Oryzias latipes: one gene and its partner. The protein of the gene in region 1 interacts with the protein of each later gene in a pairwise test. Links are inferred from orthologs where the notes say so. Each region holds a gene or a part of one and is shown in the gene's direction. Other genes may lie near its edges.

Region 1 (4,530 bases):
ACAAAACTGTGTATATTCAACTGTATAAACATTTACCAAGTGTCATTGAAAGGCTTTTTGCATATATGGACCTAAAACACAAAACTTCCAACCTAACTAAACTGATCCTTTTCTTTTTTGTTGATCCGCAGGTCCGTGCTGGTTCCCGGGCTCTTTACAGACCCATGTCTGCCTCTGTGCTCTCCAGGCCTGATGGCAAAACAGAGGTAAGGATAAACAAAGTTTATAAACACTTTTGTATTATTGACTACTTGTGGTGTTTTTTTAACAGTAACTGTATTTCCCATGCCTGTCTGTGGTGTTTCTTTGAAGTGAATGTTTTCATTTTTTGTCTTTCGCTGCAGAGCTCTGTTGCTGTGATGCCACAAAGCCCCCTCACACAGGTCACACTGAGAGGCTTCCAGACCAGTGCCATCAGCAGGGACATTGACACCGCCGCCAAGTTCATTGGTGCTGGAGCCGCTACAGTCGGAGTCGCTGGATCTGGTGCTGGAATTGGAACAGTGTTCGGTAGTCTCATTATTGGCTATGCCAGGTTTGTTGCCATTTGGTCACTGTGTACATGTTTTTTTGGGGTACAATTCAAATGTTTTCTTTACATTTATTGACTTCTTTTTGTTTGCAGGAACCCATCTTTGAAGCAGCAGCTGTTCTCATATGCCATCCTGGGTTTCGCCCTGTCTGAAGCTATGGGACTATTCTGTTTGATGGTTGCTTTTCTGATCCTGTTTGCAATGTAAAGCACTGCCCTCCCAACACTTTCATTACAGATGTGACTACATATTTTATTGTGGCTTCTAAAATTGTTCAGTGTTGGTGTCATGGAAATGTAAATTTTTCAAGTCTTTCCGACACAGTCAAAATTAAACAAAACATGTACAAACATAACAATGTGCGTGAATTTAATACATGCATTTGAGTATTTATCAGTGGCAGCAACGTCTATGTCTGGAATATCATGGTAACTGAAAGCAGTTTGCTCTCACAAATGTCAGAACATCTTCTCCCCTTGTGAATCAACTTGCTTTCTGAGAGTTATATGGGGTCCACCGTCATAAGCACTTAACTCAGTTGCAGTTAAGTAGAACTGTAAGAGGCAACAAGTGATTACTTGCTTTTGTAAATCACGTTGAATAAATCTAGATTGAATTATAATTTGGGTTTTTGAATTTATTTCCCGACCCCAACAGGGTTTCGAGGTTTGTCAAATGAATGAGTTGCCACTAAAACGGTCCATCAGAACAAAATTCTCAGTTAAAAAGTAATTGTCATTTGGAAGTCAGTAAATTAGTAATATTTGGCAACAAAGTTGACCAAATGTTTTTTTTTTTTTGTAATATAAATTACCCATGTGGTTTGTTTACTGCTTCAATCAAAAATAGTTCCTTGTGATTTAATTTAATATAGAGTACACGATAATGTTTCTCTAAATTGAATTGTTTTAAAGAAATTTGGCCTTTGAGTAAAAAAGGAATGTTAACTTGAGGTGGTTCCGTAGACTGTAAATAAAGTTGTAATGCAGTAGAAATGATGGCAATTATTTATAAAATATTGAATTTATGGGTAAATGGGTAAATTTATGGGTAAATGGGTTTATTAGTGTCCATTAGTATGTTTACGGCGTTTGGGTTAGTGTGACGTTTACGGAAGAAGAAATTGTTTTCTCGCGATACTTTGGGGTTTGGGAAAACAACGTTTGTGGCTAAAGGGGTAAGTAACAACTCAAATTGAAAGCGAGTTTTATTACAAATGCAAAAAAGGGCACCCTTTATCTGAAATCGGTGTTATTTTCTTCCAAGTGAAATTAATCCCCCTCAAATTAAATACCAAAAGGTTATCTGTTTAGTGATTTGTTGGTTCTAACATGGCGACGGCTGTGCGTTATCTCAGCTCAGGCTGGAGCGGAGGATCGGATCATAATGTAGCTTTTGTTGTGTGATGACTTTAGTCGGAATTAAACGTGAAACTTTTTTTTCCAACAAAAAACATGCATAATTTCTTTGTTCGTGTTGAAAAATACACAATCCGAACGACCACACACCGAACGACCCTGCACTGCATCACCGAGCTAATAAATAAGCACAGACAGAGCAACCCCACCTCCTCACTGGCTTTGTCCAAAATCTTATTTGTCCTTTCACTAGATTTGCCCTTAACAGTCCCACTCGAGTCTCGAGTCATTTCTACTATTATCTAAAAATTAACCCTCTAACCCTCCTTTTGATCAGCCACGATTACGTGGTTGTCTTTTCTGTGGCTGTTGAATTTATTTCTGTTTTAAATGGAAATTAAGTTAATTGAGATGAAATATGTTGTTTTTATTCATTTATTGTAGGACAAAAATATAGCAAGAATTTCTTAATATGAGTGATGACAAACCCTTCCAGTGTACTGCTCCAGGATGTGGACAGGTAAGCTGACATAGTTCTTCATAGTTTTTATTTCTTTTTAGTTAGTGATTCAGTTATTTTTATTTTTTGAAAAATAGAAGGAAAAAAACCAATTCCAATGTGTTGTAAATTTATATGGTGGAGTTGTTGAGCTTACATCTTTACATTCTAGATTATTTAAAAACGTTGAAGGTATTATAATATTACATGTTTTGAGATACGGTAGTTGTATTTCTCCAGAGACTAACTTTAATATATATATATATATATATATATATATATATATATATGCATCAAATATGGTAACCAAATATTTGGGTACTCAATGTGTACATTTTACATACATTTGCTATCTTTGCTGATAATATCGAATAATTCAACTAAAAAACGTAGTTTGTGCATTCTTATCAGACATTTTAAAAGCTGAAGTTACTGTTTGAAGGATTTGTGATTATTTGTGGTACAGATAAATCCACTTAAAAACAGAATCACTGGAGTTAATAAAAGCCTGAGTCTGCATCCAATTTGAGGATTCACAAAAGGGTCAAATAATAAAAAGCATCTCTTTTTTGAAGTCACATCAACTGTTTAATTTCTAGTGCCAAAGTAAAGTTGGCTAAAGGGTAAAAATATGTAATTATTGTGGTAAATGTACGCGCACAGTCACAATAAACATAAAAACACACATTAAGCCTATGTTTATGTTTATTTAGGGTTTGATTTCTTTGGATTTTAGCAATGCACCGTTTACTTTTTGAAATTGTTAGTATTTTAACATATTTAACATTGTGAGTCATTGTTGTCTCTCAAAGGATATGCAGAATAAAGTTGTTTTTTTATTCATTTATTTCCTTTTTACCTTGCTCAGAGATTTACAAATGAAGACCACTTGGCTGTCCACAGACACAAACACGAGATGACACTAAAGTTTGGCCCAGCGAGGACCGACAATATCATAATTGCTGGTGAGTCCTTCTTAAGTTTTATGTCTATAGATGTTTGTGTGTTTTTGCCTCCTTAAGTGTGATTTTTTTCTTCTTTTATCTTTTCTTTTCTCTATTACAGATCAAACGCCGACACCCACTCGCTTTTTGAAAAACTGCGAGGAAGTCGGGCTTTTCAACGAACTTGCCAGTCCTTTTGACCATGACTTCAAAAAAGCAGCTGAAGATGACTTGAAGAAGGTTGAGTTTGTTCTGTAACTTCTGTCAAATCTTCTCTTAGGATGATCTCTGAAGTCCAGAGTTTATATCTGCTTTTTTTCTTTTTCTTTTAACCTTCCCAAAGCTACCTCTGGATTTGTCACCTCTTGCTACACCAGTCATACGCAACAAAACTGAGGAACCCGCAGCTGTAGATGCACATCGGAACAGCCCCCTTCCTCATCCTGAGTCCACCACAAACGATGACAAGGTAGATTTTTTTCTGTTTAGTTAGCTCTCTAATGGGTTTTAGGAGTGCTATTAAACATGAATAATTAAGAATCCTCCTGTTTCTGTAATCATTCATTTACTATAGAAATTGTACTTCTTCTTTCACCTGCTTGAATTCTTCGATTTATTTGTTTTTTATTTTCAAACCCCACTCTCTTTTTTTTTTTTATTCAAACACTGCTCTTAATTTTGATTTGGAAATCCTAAAACCAACCAAAAAAATATTTGCAAAAAGTTCTTGTAACTAACTAAGCTGGTGTTCACTAAACATTTCTGCAGCTAAGGTCTTGTATGATGTTTTCAGGACTTAACTTTGCAGCCTGCCTCACTGCCAACATCCACTATAGTCCATCCTGCATCCCTCCAAGTTCCCAATGTACTTCTAGCAACCACGGACGCTAATGTTGTAATACAGCCAGCTCTCCCATCGCCAACATCTAGCTCTGTTATTACCCAGGTTCCATCCACTAATAGACCCATAGTGTAAGTAACGGAATGCGTCCATTTTTAAAACAAATCTTAGTTTTTAGTTTTTTTTAATCATTTTTGTGTAGTTTTGTGCATTTTGTGAGGCATGTGCTTGTATTTTATGTTTATTTTTTTAATCAATCTGCACTCTGGTGTAAGTCTTTCATTTTGTTGTAAACGCCAAATCAACTGTGAATTCTTCCAATTTTAGCGACATCTTTAAAAAGCTACTCACATTA
Region 2 (4,420 bases), on another chromosome or scaffold:
GACTACCAGGGAATCACACTAGTGTCACTAGTGACAGTGTCACTTTAATTAATTGTAAAGGTGATTTGTTTTTGTTTTTTTGGTTTTGTTCAGGAAGAAGTTGCCATTTTGTATGACTTACAATGTTAAGTAAAGTCCAGTGGAGTTTAGAAACAAAGGATTTGTATGTTTGTGTCAGTCTGGGGGGGCTTGAAAATATTCTAATCTTCAGAAAGGGGGGCCCTGCAGAAAAAGTTTGGGAACCACTGCACTAGACAGTGAACCTTTTTTCTTCAATGATATGTTATCTTCACTGGTGTCCATGGATTACATGAAATCTTTCCACCTTTATCCACCTTTGTCATGGTAGGGAGAACACGTCAATGGAAGGGGGGGGGGGGGGGGGAATCTAAGATAGCACAAGGGTTATTCTCTCCATTCCTGCAGAAATGCCCCAGCTCCGTCTACATATGGCTCCACCTTTGTGCATGTTTGGATGCACATTTCTGTGAGAGAAGCTCTTCTCAGTGATGAAGACTAACTAAACAGCAGACAGCTGTCGTCTCACTGATGATCACCTGCAGTCCATCCTGAGAATCTCCACAACACAGAACCTCACAGCAAACACAAACCAACTGTGTGACACAAAACGATGCCAGACGTTCAGCTCTGATCAAATGACACAGGAGTAAAGAAAACAGAATGATATGATTTGTAAACGCTGAATTTGTATAATTTGGGCAGGATATAATCTTATGGAGAATAAAATCTTTTGGGATATTTACAATTTGAACTTAATTTTTGTATAAAATGACATGTTTAATGAAATTTGAATTTTTTTCTTTAATATTTACTTTATTTCTATCTTGTTTAATTTTGAGAGTAGAGCAAAATAAAGTTATTTAGAGTTTAAGTTGATTTATTCTGGAACAACGTTTTAGATTTATGTTTTAAAAAGTTGTAAAAGTTTACATTTTTAAATTTTAGTTTACAACAGTAGTGACCCATTTACAAACGGGGGGGGGGGGTGCAGGAGGAAAACAGATCTCTAAAGAGAAAAAAAAGGAAAGTGATCAAAAAGAATGTTTTAAAAGTTAAAAGCCATTTAATTTTATGTATTTACCTGAATCTATATCTATCTATCTATCTATCTATCTATCTATCTATCTATCTATCTATCTATCTATCTATCTATCTATCTATCTATCTATCTATCTATCTATCTATCTATCTATCTATCTATCTATCTATCTATCTATCTATCTATCTATCTCAGGTGCTTTGGGGGGAGAAGGGGACCCCCGTTTTGGTCCTTGGGTGGCATCATCACTGGATCAGAGTCTATAAATAAGATGATGTCATCCCCCTCCCCACCCCCACCCCTCCTACCCTCGCAGTCTAGTAGGATTCCTAGGTACTGCGTCACTAAGCCCCGCCCCTGGAGTTCCTATAAGTGGGTGATGCAACGGGAGAGACGAGAAGCGCAACTCAGTACTGCGGAACCGAACGGAGCAGTCCACGCCGGAACCAGAGCCGGAACCAGAACTTTCAAAGGTGCGTTCCTGTCTTGTGCTGGAGGCGGGGAAGGGGGGCGCTTTTCCGCCGGTCCGGTCCGGTCCGGTCCGGCCGTGGCTCTAAACAGAAAGCAAACTGTTTGTAGGTGCTTCTCGTTGAAAGACTTAGTTTCTGTTCATGGAAGTGTTTCTATTTGAATCCTCCGCTTTAACCTTCGTTTTCTGCTTACCAGTTTACCTTCAGTCAGTAAATAACACTCAAAAACGCCTTAGGGAGGGAATCGAACCGGTGTGATGATCAGAAGTTCTTCTTCCGTTGTAGCCGCGGATGTTCCTCTGAAGGAGCAGAACCTCCTTCACCTGCTGTTACACAACAAATGTGTTGACTCTTTATCTTCATGATGTCATTATTACTCAGCAGAATCTGTCCTGGAAGTCTCTGGTTAGCAGTCAGAGATCTTTAGGGTTCATGTGGGCGTTTCTGCCTGAATGTAGTCAGTTAGTTTATGCTACTGGAAACCTGTGTGGAAAAACATTGATACTACACAAATACTAGATAAAAAAACACCAAGCCACATATAAGTGCAACATTAGCTAAAAAAAAACTAAAAAAGTTCCAGAGCAAAGTATTTCTTGTAAAAAGCAGAGGGCGTGTTCAGGAAGGGGCTAAAGAAAGTCCAAAACCAGAAAGACAAATGGTGGGAGGGGGGACGCTGAGCCTGACTGTGACTGAAAGTCTGCCGTGTCTCCAGAATGATGCTGCAGCACCTGGGACCGTCATTGGCTGACATCAGCTGCTCAGCCCTGGTCCCCTGCCTGTCCCCCCCAGGAGAACTCACTCTAGAAGACTTCACCAACTTCACCCCCATAGTGAAGGAGGAGCTCCGTCAGGTCATCCAGAACAAGCGACTGTCCTGCGGGCTCAGTGCAGACGCCAGTTCTGACAGCGCCAGCTCTGCCTCGGACCAGGCCCCGCCCACCCACGAGTCAGGGGTCAAGAGAGAGGTGAGGCAGGTACTCCCCCCACGCCAGTCTGTTGCTGAGTGGATTCTTTATTCAGAACTCTGTGTGGGTTTCAGCTGACGCTAGAGGAGCACGACAGGAAGAAGAGGAGGCGAGAGAGGAATAAGATTGCTGCTGCAAAATGCCGCAGCAAGAAGAAGGAGAAGACTGAAGGTCTGCAGAAGGTAAACTCTGTTTTCACCAGGCTGTAACCAGGAGCTCTTTGGAGGACATGCATGAGACCAAGTGTCTTACTACCATCACAGTTTACTCATTTAGCAGATATGTAGCTTCTGTGTGCTTGAAACGGAAGCCTGAAGGTTGCCTCTGTGAACCTTCATCATTTCTGATAATGCAGATTATTCTGCTTATACTATGGTCACTTCCCAAAGAAATATTTAGTACTTTATTCTTGTTTTTTTTTTTAGGTTTTCACAAAAATCAGACTAAGTTATATGCAGTACGTTGTCATGGTAATGGCCATAGAGACTGCAGCGGCAAAAGAAAGTGATTCATATGCTGATGGGTTGAATAAAGCATCAGTTCAGTGTGAAAGTTCACGTCTTACTGCTTCTTTTTGTCCAGATGAGGAAGTTAAAGTTTGTTTCAAAGAAACTAACTGTAAAGTCTAAATAGTTCAGTTCCTCCTCTTGTCGTATTTCTTCCTTCTAGATCCACTTCTCTCTCGTTCTCTTTTGCTGCAGTCTCTAAAAAGATCAAATTAACCAAACAGGTGAAAGGAAACTATAAAATCACTCATGTTTTCTACTGTCTTACTGTTGTAATAATCTGGAATAAGGCATGACAAACTATGTTTGTTTATGTTTTAATGGTGATAATCGGAATACCGACTTGTGTTTAGGCCACTGCAGTGATAAGGAACATTTGGGGGGTGTGACTGGAACTTCTTTTTTAGGTGTGGGATATCACTTTGAAATATACACACTGCAACCAATCAGAATTAAGTATTCACCTGGACAATGGTATAGAGACTTAACAGATTCTCTGAGGTGGAATTAGTCTTTCTAGAAAAAAGATCTGAATTTGAGGCATTTTACAAATGGAAATACAATTTCATGAGGAAAAGAAGATAAAAGTTTGGTAAGAATTAAAGTTGTCAAAAAACATTTATCCTCAAATGAAAAGCGTGTCCCGGATCTTGGTTTCTCTTCAGCAGCTTCTTTTGGTTTCAGACCTGGAACTTTTTTAACCAAAGCAGCTTTCTGATCCCTCCACCTGATGTTCCAAAAGACTGAGCCCCGTTTGTTCTGCGTCTGCTCCTGTTAGGAGTCAGAGAAGCTGGAAAGCATCAACGCTGACCTGAAGGCTCAGATCGAGGAGCTCAAGCAGCAGAAGCAGCAGCTGGTCTACATGCTGAACCTGCACCGACCCACCTGCATCGTCCGGGCCCAGGACGGACAAACCCCAGAGGACGAGAGGAACCTCTTCCTCCAGCACATCAAGGAGAGCAACTTCCAGCTTCACAGCCTCACCTCCACCACAGAGGGCTTGCTGGGGGGGGGCCCGCTAAGCCTTGACCACATTTGCTGTCCCGCTGATCTATGACTGAGCAGAGGCTGCCCCCTACCAACATCAGAGACTAGCTGAGTGTTAGCCTGACCTGAACAGGCCTGACCCAGAAAGGACTGCGGGCCACACTTGGCTCACACAAAGCTGCAAAAACCTGACTATGCACTGAGGGTTGTGAGGGAGGGGGACATCTGTCATGCATTTTTTTTGACATTACACATATCAAAGCTTTCCTGATGGTTATGTTGGTGTGTTGCACTGAAGTCAGATTTCAACAAAGCACTTTTTCTGTTGGCTCAGCCCGGCCTGCACAGCAGCAGCACCAAAGTGAGAACAATTACTGAATGACTGCTGTATGTTCCGATTTTCCCAAACAACCTGGCTCTGTCCGATGT

The links.
Region 2: the proteins of atf2 (region 1) and atf3 interact in binary tests that used the Homo sapiens proteins (3 or more experiments, as listed by UniProt). The link is inferred for Oryzias latipes from reciprocal best matches to the Homo sapiens genes ATF2 and ATF3.

The regions. Positions count from the first base shown.
Region 1 is NC_019879.2:22,381,668-22,386,197, reverse strand, and holds the start of atf2 (cyclic AMP-dependent transcription factor ATF-2), read left to right. Parts: upstream 1-1,634; 5' UTR 1,635-1,710; intron 1,711-2,335; 5' UTR 2,336-2,363; coding exon 2,364-2,411; intron 2,412-3,258; coding exon 3,259-3,355; intron 3,356-3,455; coding exon 3,456-3,574; intron 3,575-3,677; coding exon 3,678-3,803; intron 3,804-4,127; coding exon 4,128-4,306; intron 4,307-4,530. Other genes in the region: atp5mc3 (ATP synthase F(0) complex subunit C3, mitochondrial), read left to right, coding at 132-206, 345-535, 626-740. UniProt on the Homo sapiens protein: Transcriptional activator which regulates the transcription of various genes, including those involved in anti-apoptosis, cell growth, and DNA damage response.
Region 2 is NC_019882.2:23,408,945-23,413,364, reverse strand, and holds the start of atf3 (cyclic AMP-dependent transcription factor ATF-3), read left to right. Parts: upstream 1-1,408; 5' UTR 1,409-1,439; coding exon 1,440-1,533; intron 1,534-2,245; exon of another isoform or gene 2,246-2,246; coding exon of another isoform or gene 2,247-2,322; coding exon 2,323-2,498; intron 2,499-2,572; coding exon 2,573-2,680; intron 2,681-3,782; coding exon 3,783-4,061; 3' UTR 4,062-4,420.